Linked DNA regions of Caenorhabditis elegans. The protein of the gene in region 1 interacts with the protein of each later gene in a pairwise test. Each region holds a gene or a part of one and is shown on either strand. Other genes may lie near its edges.

Evidence for each region.
Region 2: the proteins of ZK938.1 (region 1) and tag-325 interact in a two-hybrid assay, tested with the Caenorhabditis elegans proteins (one large-scale study listed by BioGRID).

What each region holds. Positions count from the first base shown.
Region 1 is NC_003280.10:9,827,608-9,831,262, forward strand, and holds ZK938.1 (Serine/threonine-protein phosphatase), read left to right. Parts: upstream 1-1,800; 5' UTR 1,801-1,884; coding exon 1,885-1,924; intron 1,925-1,977; coding exon 1,978-2,105; intron 2,106-2,180; coding exon 2,181-2,459; intron 2,460-2,506; coding exon 2,507-2,794; intron 2,795-2,840; coding exon 2,841-3,089; 3' UTR 3,090-3,147; downstream 3,148-3,655. Other genes in the region: eyg-1 (Homeobox domain-containing protein), read right to left, coding at 1-51, 104-210, 271-319.
Region 2 is NC_003281.10:4,795,289-4,802,838, reverse strand, and holds the start of tag-325 (WW domain-containing protein tag-325), read right to left. Parts: upstream 6,001-7,550; 5' UTR 5,929-6,000; coding exon 5,833-5,928; intron 5,781-5,832; coding exon 5,632-5,780; intron 5,271-5,631; coding exon 5,096-5,270; intron 5,024-5,095; coding exon 4,605-5,023; intron 4,209-4,604; coding exon 3,734-4,208; intron 3,270-3,733; coding exon 3,054-3,269; intron 2,285-3,053; coding exon 2,175-2,284; intron 2,091-2,174; coding exon 1,912-2,090; intron 1,717-1,911; coding exon 1,590-1,716; intron 1,111-1,589; coding exon 929-1,110; intron 876-928; coding exon 622-875; intron 404-621; coding exon 263-403; 3' UTR 1-262.

The DNA of each region.
Region 1 (3,655 bases):
GTTATCCCTTTTGTATTGCTCAATTTTTGCAACGACTTGTGGAGTAGCAACCTACAATTTTTATTTAAATCAAAAACAACTGTTTATCATAATAAAATCTCACCTTCGGTTTTGTTCCAGCACCGCCCGCGGCATTACTGTTGCCTGATGGTTTTCCGCCATCAGACTGCGAAGTTCGTCTTGTCATTTTGCCCATGGTGTTGTGAGCTCCTAAAAACAATTATTCCATTAAGATTTTTTTATATAATAACTTATAAAATTCAAACTTACCCCAAAAATGCAAAAGCTGCTCTTGAGATAGTGGTTGTTGAGCAGCCATAAAAATTTGTGTCGTGGTAAACCGTGAGTGAACCGTATCTAACCTTTAGCTTAGCTTATCCTCTTCAAAGACCCCGCCTACTTTTCTACAGTACCCCACATTGTGTTGAATATATGGCGGCATCATTAAAAGGGGCGGAGGAGTTGTGTAATGAAGTGTTGTACGGACAATATAATGCAGATTAACTGGTTAAGAAGGATGAGTGAGGTCAGAGTTATGATAGGTGCATCTGAGTCCATGTTGTCGAGCTGTATTCGATAATATCCAAAAATGTGAACTGTGAATGTGATACCGTATTTTCACTATCTCATTTGCATCTAATCGTTTAGGACTGGACCAGTTTTATAAAACATTATCAACTGGAAAAATTTGTACTTTTTCCTTATGGTTTTGTTTTTTTTCTGATCTCTGGAAAAATAACCGGGATATAAGTTGTCTAAATCTTTCCGCTGTTGATTTGATTTATTAGAATCATGCACGTAAGTTGATATGGCTCATGAAAGACGATCAAGTGAGCTCTATTTCTATAACCAAATTTAGTTTTAAACATATAATGTGAAAATCTTTATAAATTTGATAAATCCAAAGGAATGTGAGTTGTCTAAAAAGAGCAAAGGATGCCAGACACACAGAAACAATTTATCAGAAAAAAAAACAAGTAAAATAAAAAACTCAATTCTTTGTACTTTCCACATGTAAATTATTGCGCAATTCCTCTTAACCTTTGTCTAATGTACACATGAATGAGCTGTCCCGTGTCCCCTCAAAAGTGTGAAGTACCAGAGTGTGATCTGACAGGACACCGACAACACATCAACACAGAAAACACATAGAAGATATCAGATTTCAATCTGATCTATCTTCGGCGCGACAAGCAGCGACGATGGCTAACGGAATGAGCCAGCAGCACTTGACATTCATGTTCGTGTGCTAATCATCATTGTGCACATCCGGACCCACTTCAAAATTGGGTGTCGGTACAGGAAAATGAGAGCCGAAAAGGGATGCAGAAGTGGTCTTGTTGGATTTACATAACAATTATTGGACAATAAGGCAGGATAAAGGGCAGCTGCAAGACTGTTTGGGAGAATTAAGGAATGCTTTTTAATTTCAAAGTCTAGATTTGATGCCAACTATTTAAAAATGGAGTAGTGCGAATGGGGATTTTGATCTAAAAAGTAGCCAAAATTGAAAAAAAAAATCACGTTTATTTTAGTCGGATTTTTAGTGTTCTTAATTTTTTTCGTTTTTCTTTTGTGGTATTTGGTGGTACCTGAATTTCAGAAAGTTCTGGGTATCGTAAAAATCCCCCACATTCTAAAACGTGAAGCAAACAAAATATTCTGTTAAGTTGTCAGAAGATTTTTAAAAATAAATCAAAAAATCAAAACTTTTGCATATAGTCTAGTGTGACCCCTCCTCCCATCGAGTTGTTATCTTTGATAAGATCTTCCAACTCTTCAAAACAAGGACTTCGATTGAAAATAATTTATTCCCACTTTAACTAACCATCGCGGCATCTCGCATCTTCTACTCACTGCTAACAACACTAACCTACGCTCGAAATGGTCAACATTCCCAACTTTATCGATAAGGTTTTATCAGGTAAATTAATTTAGCAGATTTAAAGTTTCATACTGTAACGTTATAATTTTCAGTCAACGACACTTCTAACGCCTCTCTAACACATTGCATCAAAGAGGCAGATATTGATGGCGTCATCGAGGAATGTAAGGATATCCTCTCAGCGCAAGCGACAATGGTTGAGGTTCAGGCGCCGATTGCGGTACGTTGACTTTTGACTTTTTAGTAAAATAGAGAGTTATTCTTGAAGTTCCTGCCAGAATACGTGTACTTTCAGGTCTGTGGAGACATTCATGGGCAGTATACTGATCTTCTTCGAATCTTCAACAGATGCTCATTCCCGCCGGATCAAAACTACCTGTTCCTGGGCGACTACGTGGATCGAGGACGTCAACAACTTGAAGTCATTTGTCTCCTCATGGCATACAAAGTCAGGTATCCAAATGGGTTCTTTATACTCCGAGGAAACCACGAGTGTGCTTCAATCAACCGTACGTATGGATTTTACGATGAGTGTAAACGAAGATATTCTTTGGCTCTATACAATGAGTTCCAAGTAAGTTTTAGTGCGTTGCGGTATTCTGTCAAACCTCAGTATTTCAGAATTTGTTCAACAGTCTCCCATTGTGCGCAATGATCTCCGGACGAATCTTCTGCATGCATGGTGGATTGAGCCCGGAATTGGTTTCATGGACACAGCTTGCCAAAATCATACGCCCATTCGATCCACCAAACGCGTGCCTTGCAATGGATCTCCTTTGGGCAGATCCAGAGAACAACCATACCGGATGGGGAAAGAACTCACGCGGAGTTTCCTATATTTTTGGAGCCAACGTTGTAAAGGACTTCACGGAGAAGATGAATATCGATCTCATTGCTAGAGGCCATCAGGTATGATATCACTTAATAACTTTTGATAAACAATTTTCAATTTCAGGTTGTTCAAGATGGATACGAATTTTTCGCCGACAAACGCCTCGTGACAATCTTCTCTGCACCCAAATACTGTGGAGAATTCGACAACAATGCAGGAATTATGATTGTCGACGAACGGCTCATCATTTCCTTCGAGATCCTGAAGCCAGCCATGAGAGAAGTAAAAATTCAAGCTCGTGCAGCCGCCAAAAACAAGTCAACCAGAAGTATACTCGTGAGCAGCAGAGGACCGAAGTCTAAAAAAGGATAACTAACCATTTATGCAGCTATTGATTGATTCTAACGAAATAAATGTTTTAAACTTCACAGTGTACCAATGATGTTTACATATATGTATATTCATGTGTGGATAACAACATTTACTTTTAAATTTTAAAAGCTTAAAAGCTTTAGTCGAAATAAAATCAAAGGAAAGTGTGGAGAATTACAAACTGCCTTTGCCGATGCTTTTATTTCCTTCTGTTAAAACCTTTTCTGAGCGGGTCAGCAGTTAAATAGTTGGCCCATAACTTACGAACCGCTCACGCAGATGGACATTTAAATATTTTGTTGCAGTTTTGAAACGAGGGATTCATTTTGGAGCTCCCAGGTCTGAAACCCTCCCAATGTCAATGAGCTTCATCAGTTTTTATAAGGGCGTAGCAAGGATTCAGTTGTTATATTCAATTTTTGGTATTTGTTGTGCAAAACACAAAATCTCCTACGTTTTCCTATAGAGGATGCAATAGAAGTATGAACTTTGATCATGCTATAAGGTATTGGTAATTTGTATAAGTTTTCGAGTTGTCCATAATATAAATGTTTTAATTTTTGAAC
Region 2 (7,550 bases), on another chromosome or scaffold:
AAGCGTAAAAGGAGAAGACTGTAATAAGTAAACGGATGAAAAAAAAAGACTAGCATACTGAAAATGTGTTGAGGAAAATGAATATTACAGTACATATTTACAACATTAATTGATCAAATCCCGAAAGTCAAGGAAAAAAAAGTAGAAAGAAAATAAGAGAAAACGATAAAAGTAATACCCATTTTTCGGCGATAAAACACCCAAAGTGAAACGGTGAGAAATAAGGTCACAACTCTTTTGGAAAATTTGAAAAATCTATAGATTATCGTCCAATATTGACTGGAGCTTTGAGAATATCAAATTTGTTGGCCGATTCGAGAAGATATTGAACAATTTGGGATTGCATAATCATTGAGAAGGCGAGATGAGAATTCGATTGGACAGGAGTTGCTTGAGTTTCTTCCTGGAAATTATAAGTATTTTAAACAAGGAATATCAGTTGGTTTTTGAGTTTTGACTCAATTTTCAATAACTTAAATTACAAATAATTTGGTGAATATAGAAAATGAACGGTAATGACCAATTATAACTGTAAAAAATTTCAAAATTTGTTTAATGATATGTTATATCAATTTTTTAAAGATTTTTCACTCCATTCTCAATAAATGAAGTTTTACAAACCTTTTTCGAAGGTTTCGCCTTCTTTCCAGCTTTCTTATTTTTGGTTGCCAAATTCACGGCTCCATCACCATTATGGAATAGTGTTGGACCAAAAACAATAGCAAGATTATGTTGTTGCATTCGATTTTGTGATGAATGCGAGGCTACACGATTCAAATGACGAAGTAACATTTTCAATGTTTCACGATTCTCGTTTGGAAGTCGACTTAGAAGTTCTTCGAATTTTTTGAAACGAGTGGTCGCGTTGGGCATTTCTGGAATAGAAAATTGGTTTAGGACATTTTAAAACTTCAAAAAAAAAACTTACGCATAGCTGATGTGTATTCCTTATGAAGAGAAATTGGGAAAAGTGGATCGGTTAGCTCTCGGAAAAAGAGTTTAAGAGCACCAGTAAGAACATGAATATCTTCTTCAGACACAAGAGCTTTATAATTGTCTTGATCAGCTTGACATCGAATTTTTTGGACTGCGGACAGGTTTCCACTCACTCTGAAATAAGAAATTTCAAGTTTCAATGCTATTTTTATTTGGTAGTCATCCTTTAAAAAACTGAAAATACAGTTAGAGAATACTCTCGTAACAGTTCAAATTTTTTAAAGATATTCCAAAACTATAATTTTTAAAGTGTGCCTTTAAAAAATACAGTAATTTTGATGTTGATTTTTCATAATTTTTTTGAATACAAATAAATAAATTTTAATCGAAAAACCGCAGCAACTGTGAGTTGGAAATTACAGTACTTTTTAAAGGCACACAATCATTTAAATTTTAAAAAATCGTGTCGAGACCGGGAAAAGTTTTTTCAACGCAAACAGTTCGCATCTGGGTAATGTTTTTCGGAAAAAATTATTAGGTCTACCCCTTTTGATAGTAAATAAATTTTTAGATGTGTTTTGTTATGGCATTTGGTCATTTTTTCACAAAATGGCGACACTTCATGTAATTTTTTTCCAATTTCATAAACTAACCGATAAATTCCATCTGTCTCCAATCCTTTACTCTCAATAACTTCAGTGATAACTCTAATAAACTTCGGTACCAACGAGTTTTCATGTTGACAGATTGCAGAAAGAGTTGATCCGAATACTGGTTCAGCTGAAATGATTCTTATTTCAATATCAATTTACTATATATAAAGCGCGTGTCGTTCCGTCACTATGTAGTTTGATTTTTGACAGAGCAACGGAAATTTGGGAAACCTTATGATAATTGTATTTTCTCAAAAAAAAAAGTCGGGGGCCGCGCCGTAGGTGCGGTCCACGGCTGGTTTGCATATATTTCCAATCTTACGTTTATATATTCCCTTCTCTTTAAGACTTTCCACTGTAGGGCGTGTTCGGAAGAATCTTCTCAACTTCTCAATGATCGTCTCTTTTGATGGTCTTGGTTCATCAGTTGATACACTTGTCGATACCGTTTCAATTGCAGATTGTGACATTGGATCATCACGTCGTCGCATACTTCGGCTTCTTAAAAAACAAAACATTTTCAATAAGACATGGTTCTCTCAGAATTTTGAATTCAATTTTTTTTTTTTTGAAAAAAAAACTCACATTGGAATTAATGCATGGGAAAGTGGACGCGTGCTGCCAATGTATGACGGATTACGAGCAACGCCATTTGTTACATCAATCATCGGTTGGTTTGAAGAGCCAGGAGACGGCTGAAACGATATACATAGTCTTGAAATCTATAATCGGATGCAAAAAACAGTATACGGTCTCGACGCGATCGAATAGGTTTAAATGAAAAAAGTTGTGCGCCTTTAAGAAGTACAATAGTCCATTTTTCTCGTTTTTCTCAAAAAACCTTTTATTGTGTGAAATTGTATGCACAATTAAAAAAAAAAAGATAAGTCGAAGAAAATTGAAAAACAGCAAGATTTATTTAATTTTCCTAGATAGATTTTTTATAATTTCAATATTTTTTGATTAGTGTCACAAAAAAAAAAGGAAAAAAAGGTTTTAGACGAAAAGGCAGGAAAATGGTAAAATAGCGGGACTACTGTAATTATCAAAGGCGCACACACTGTTTCATTTCAGCATTTTCGGTCGTGTTGAGACCGGGTTAGATATTTTTCAAGCGAAAATCCAGCTTAATAGGATTTTCAGAATTTTCTCCCATGAATCACCTCACTATTTGACCGTTGCAGGCTCAACATTCGGACTCTGGAGCAAGCAGTATGCCACATGGTACTTTTTTGAGAATACACAACAAGTAAAAACTTTGCAATAATAGACGGAGAAAAACTTCGGCCGTGAATTCTTATTTCTACAGTCTTGAGAAAGTTGGAAACAACTTGGCAAAGTAGCTTATAGCCGAATAATCTCTTAATTGTACCTGCCAAGGGCGGGAGAAAAAGAAAAATGAAACAAAAACACTTGATTTTTTTTGTCTATTTTCTGGATAATTTTCAAATAAAGAAATCTTACAAGCTTTGCGACAACTTCTTCCAGTGACTTGTACCATTCGACGGCTTCCGTGTCATTGGGACCTCGTAACAGGTATTTCTTCGTGTTACACAGCTCTAATTGAATATATTTCCGTTGTTTCTTCTTTTGTACATCCCGATTGTCTTGATACCATGTCACACTTGCTCCTCGTAAATCCCATACTCCTTGTGGAGCATCATAATGTTTTCCGTGTTTCTGAAAGTTGACAACTATTTGGTATTGGTTGATCTACTGACAAGGAAAGGAAATAAATATATACAAAATATGGCACTTCAATTTGAAACATTATGTTTAGGCTGAGCTGATATATATGTATATAAATATTTAAGCTGCAAAAACTCCACTCGAACCATCTGAACTTTATCAACAAACTTTTCAACTACTTTTATGATCAGTCGAGTTGTTCCAAAAGTGGATTTTTGCAAACTTCGGATCATTTTTAAGCTGTTTAGAGATAAGCAAACATTTCGGAAGCTTTTTGAAATTTTTAGTTTCTGAAGAAGAGTGCAATTTTTTGACCGAGGTGGATGAAACATTTTCAGATCATTTTCAGAAAAACTTCCAAAAAGCAGACAATAATACATCATCTCTGCACATTTTGTTAAAATTTCTTAAATCTTTTTTTCTGCGTTAATTATCAACAACATAAAAAAAACTACCTCTGCACTTTTTTGGTCTTTATACAAAATGAGATGAGCCGTTGTTAAATACATGTAGTTCGTGATCCATTCACGTTTTTTTGGCTTTACAACTTTCTCTGCTGGTTCATCATTTTCACTTCTTTCCAAATCACCGCATCGAATCGTTCGAACAGGTTCACGTCCATCACCACTACCTCGACGTTCTTCACATCGTGATGATGGTGTAAAATCGGCAGAATCTTCCATAAGGATCGGCCGATCCGGCGTATTAGAGTGATATTGCGGATGGTGATCGAAACTTGATGAGGTTGTCGGCAGCACTTGTGGCATTGGAACATTTTTTAGAACTGTACATTTGTTCTGAAATGAGACCGATCTTAGGTTCGTCGGAGATGGACGACGGACACGGATTGCGGTGGGAGTTTTTGATGTTTCATTGGCATCTGGGGGAATCACATACGAAGCCAATTTGTCAGTGTCTTCATTTTTGGCCCTAAAAATGTAACTTTAGTGATAGGATATAACATTATTGAATTTAGGGGTAGCGTCGATGGGAATTTCACTCAAAAATACTCAGGTTGATCTCAAATGCCGATAACTTTTTTTGCATCTGTAGTTCTCAATACTGCCGCAAGTTCTTCATTTTCCTTGAATTTTCAAGTGAAAAGGAAGGTTTTATGCCTATAATGGCAGTTACGTTTCGCCTAAAATATTATTTTTGTCTGAACCAGTCGAGAAAATCGAAGTGAAAAACGGAAAAATTAGCGGAGTTTCGAGGCGCGGTAATTCAAATGAGGCACAACTGAAAATTCACTAAAGTTAGCCATGTTTCAAACTTAATGATTTTTTTTTCGTTTTGCTCCACTATTACAAATTTTGTAAAACCAACCTTGGAAACGTTGATTGAAACGAAGAAACATGTGCATAGGGATGTGGCATCATTACTCCGGATGCTGTAGAAGCTTTTCTTGATGATGTTGGAACAGGTTCTTCGTCAAAATCGGAATCTGAAGCTATGGATCCTTCTATAGGTTTCACATCATCTTCATCTTCATCATCCGTAAAACTGTCAGAGAATGGAATTGGAAGAGGCCGTGATTGAAGATCAATTACAGGTGATGATTGTTCATCCACGTCATCGCAAACTTCATCAAACACTTCTTCATCTTCTATCAATTGACTTTTTCTGTCGTCATCAGCTAAAGATTCACGCATTTTGTTCTCTTTTTGTTCTTCTGATGAAGATGTCGAGGATCCTTGAAAACTGCATGTAGTATCTAGATTCGTTCTTGTTGCACGAAGAAATTCCTGAAAATTGAAAACTGAATGAAATTATAACATCTTACCAGATTTTAATTTTTTAAAAGTAAAAAATAATACCTGAACTTGTGCGGGTGTTCTGATAAACCTCGGTGGAATCCATTGACTTTTTCCAGTTTCTTTATTGAAGAAAAATGTCCGTCCGACGTCGGTCTCGTATTCAAACCAACCATTTAGAAGATCTCTACGGGGCTGCGCGTCGGCTCGCGGAGTCGGTGGAACCGGTCGGCTGAAGCTTTTAAAAATGTTTTATGATGATTTTAGAATCAAAAATGAAAATTAAATAATCATCAGTGATTAAAAAAATGCTCCAGGTGTTGTTCCAACATTTTTTCATAAATATTAGTGAGAAAATATGGAAAAATAATAGATATAATTGAAAATAAGAATTCAATTTGACGAAAGAATTTGAAAAAGTGCTTAAACATAGTCTGAAATTGTCATTTACCAATTATCGAACTTAATTTTTCAGAGATTGGCAAGTTTCAAACCATTTTTGACCTCTTTTTCAAATGCTTCACCCACGATTTGCACACTAATTCCAATTTTTCAAAACATTATAACTAAACCTGAATCATTTCAGATATTTCCCGTACCTGTTTAATTCTTCGATTTCTCTGATATTTGTATACACATGTGATGGATCGTCAGCGTAATTCTGTCCATTACTTTCACGTGGCAATGTGTTCGCGGCGCTAACATTCGTTTGACTAGATGACGAAGAGGATTCGGCCGATTCGGACATCTGTAATGAATAAAATTATTTTTCTCGCGTTCGATGAGAGAGAAAAACTAACAATTTCTTGGAACTGAATAAGATCCGAAGCTCTTGATCCAGCGGGTCCTCCGCCGAATCCAGTTGTATCTGACGGCTGAACAGCGGTGGTCATCATCCGACGAACAAAATCGATAATAAATCACTTTTAACACCACCGGAGAGGCATTGAAGAGAATGATAACGAACTGCAAAAAGGACGAATTGCTAAAATATTCGGAGAGGGAGAGCATGGTAAGGAGAGGAAAAGAAGAGAAAGATCATGTGACCATTGACTTTGTTTTTACAGTGTTTATAGAACAAAACCGAAATATTTAATAAAGCAGATTGATCCGGAAATGGGAAAACAAAAATTATAATTAGGTTGTTAAGATAATTAAATAATGTTCGAAAAGAGAAGAAGACAACAATTAAGTATTCTAAATATCTAAGAAACTTGATACATTTCTTTCCACTTGAATCGATTCTCTCGAATTTCCGTGACTTTCTGAACATTTCGTAACTTTATACCCATAAGAATATCTTACGAAATATTTTTAAAATGAAACATATTTTAATCAACCAACGGAATTGATAAGCAAAATTTCCGATTTTTTGTTTCATTTCAGCTGTCCAATTTCAAAATTAGCTGAAATTATTTATAAATCAGTTTTAATTTAAAATTTTGTACAATTCCAACAGAAAAGCACCAAAAAAACCATCACAAGGAGGCACACACGGGATGACTCATCCGGCCGTCGTATTTCCCTTGTCCCGACTGGAGAAAAGAGAACACAGAATGGAAGAGTAAGATACGCAGACAGTGATACAGAAAAAACTCGCCGTGTGTTCTCTCACTCATTCGGGAGGTTAGAGACAGTGTCTTGGGGCTAAATATTGGAGATACAGACACACGAACAGACGACAATCGATTTAAAGAAATACAGTCATTGTACAAACCTGATAGTGCCGTGACTAGAGGTATTTACTGGTTTAGCTAGTGAAAAGGCTCTTTTTAGACTTCAAAAATTTGTTTTAATAAATAGTTTCATTATTTCAACATATTTTACTAAATAATGTGCCAAATTGAAAAACTATTCACTAGACAGCATAGAAATATAATATTCTCTTAAAAATCAATATTGGAGAACATTTTTGGATAAGAATTCTTTTACCCTTAAGGGTCAATCTTATATAGCGCGTCGTTATCCAGAGCACTTTTTGTCTCTATGTTTTACACCGTTCGTTGATGTTATCTCATCTTCAAAACGAATTTCCTGCAGTTTCTTAGTCTCTATAGTGCCACGTTTTGCGTGCGCGTAGAATAATAAATTCATGTTTTATGGGTCTGTCTGTGTGCACAAGCCGACCGCCCCAGTTTTCCCCCATATTCGAACATCGTTTGATGCCAATCTTGACATGGCAGAGAAATAGGAAACTGAATGCATTGGGGAAGAGAAAAAGAGAAACTGCATTTCGCTTTCAATTATTTGAGTGGCCCGTCGGAAGAGCTCTCACAGCTACTCTACAATTTTGCATCTAAAGGGGTCACGCTATTTAAGCTAACAAATATTTTTTCATGTTTCAGAACACATTTTTCTTAATTATGCGAAACAAGAATAGAATGCACCGGAAAAAAAATTTATAGTAAAATTCGTGAATGACTCGCATCCAAAATATAAAAAAAACAATGTTACTATTAAAACTAATTAAAAAATAATTTTACAAAAACACATAAACAGGATATTTTAAAGCACGTAA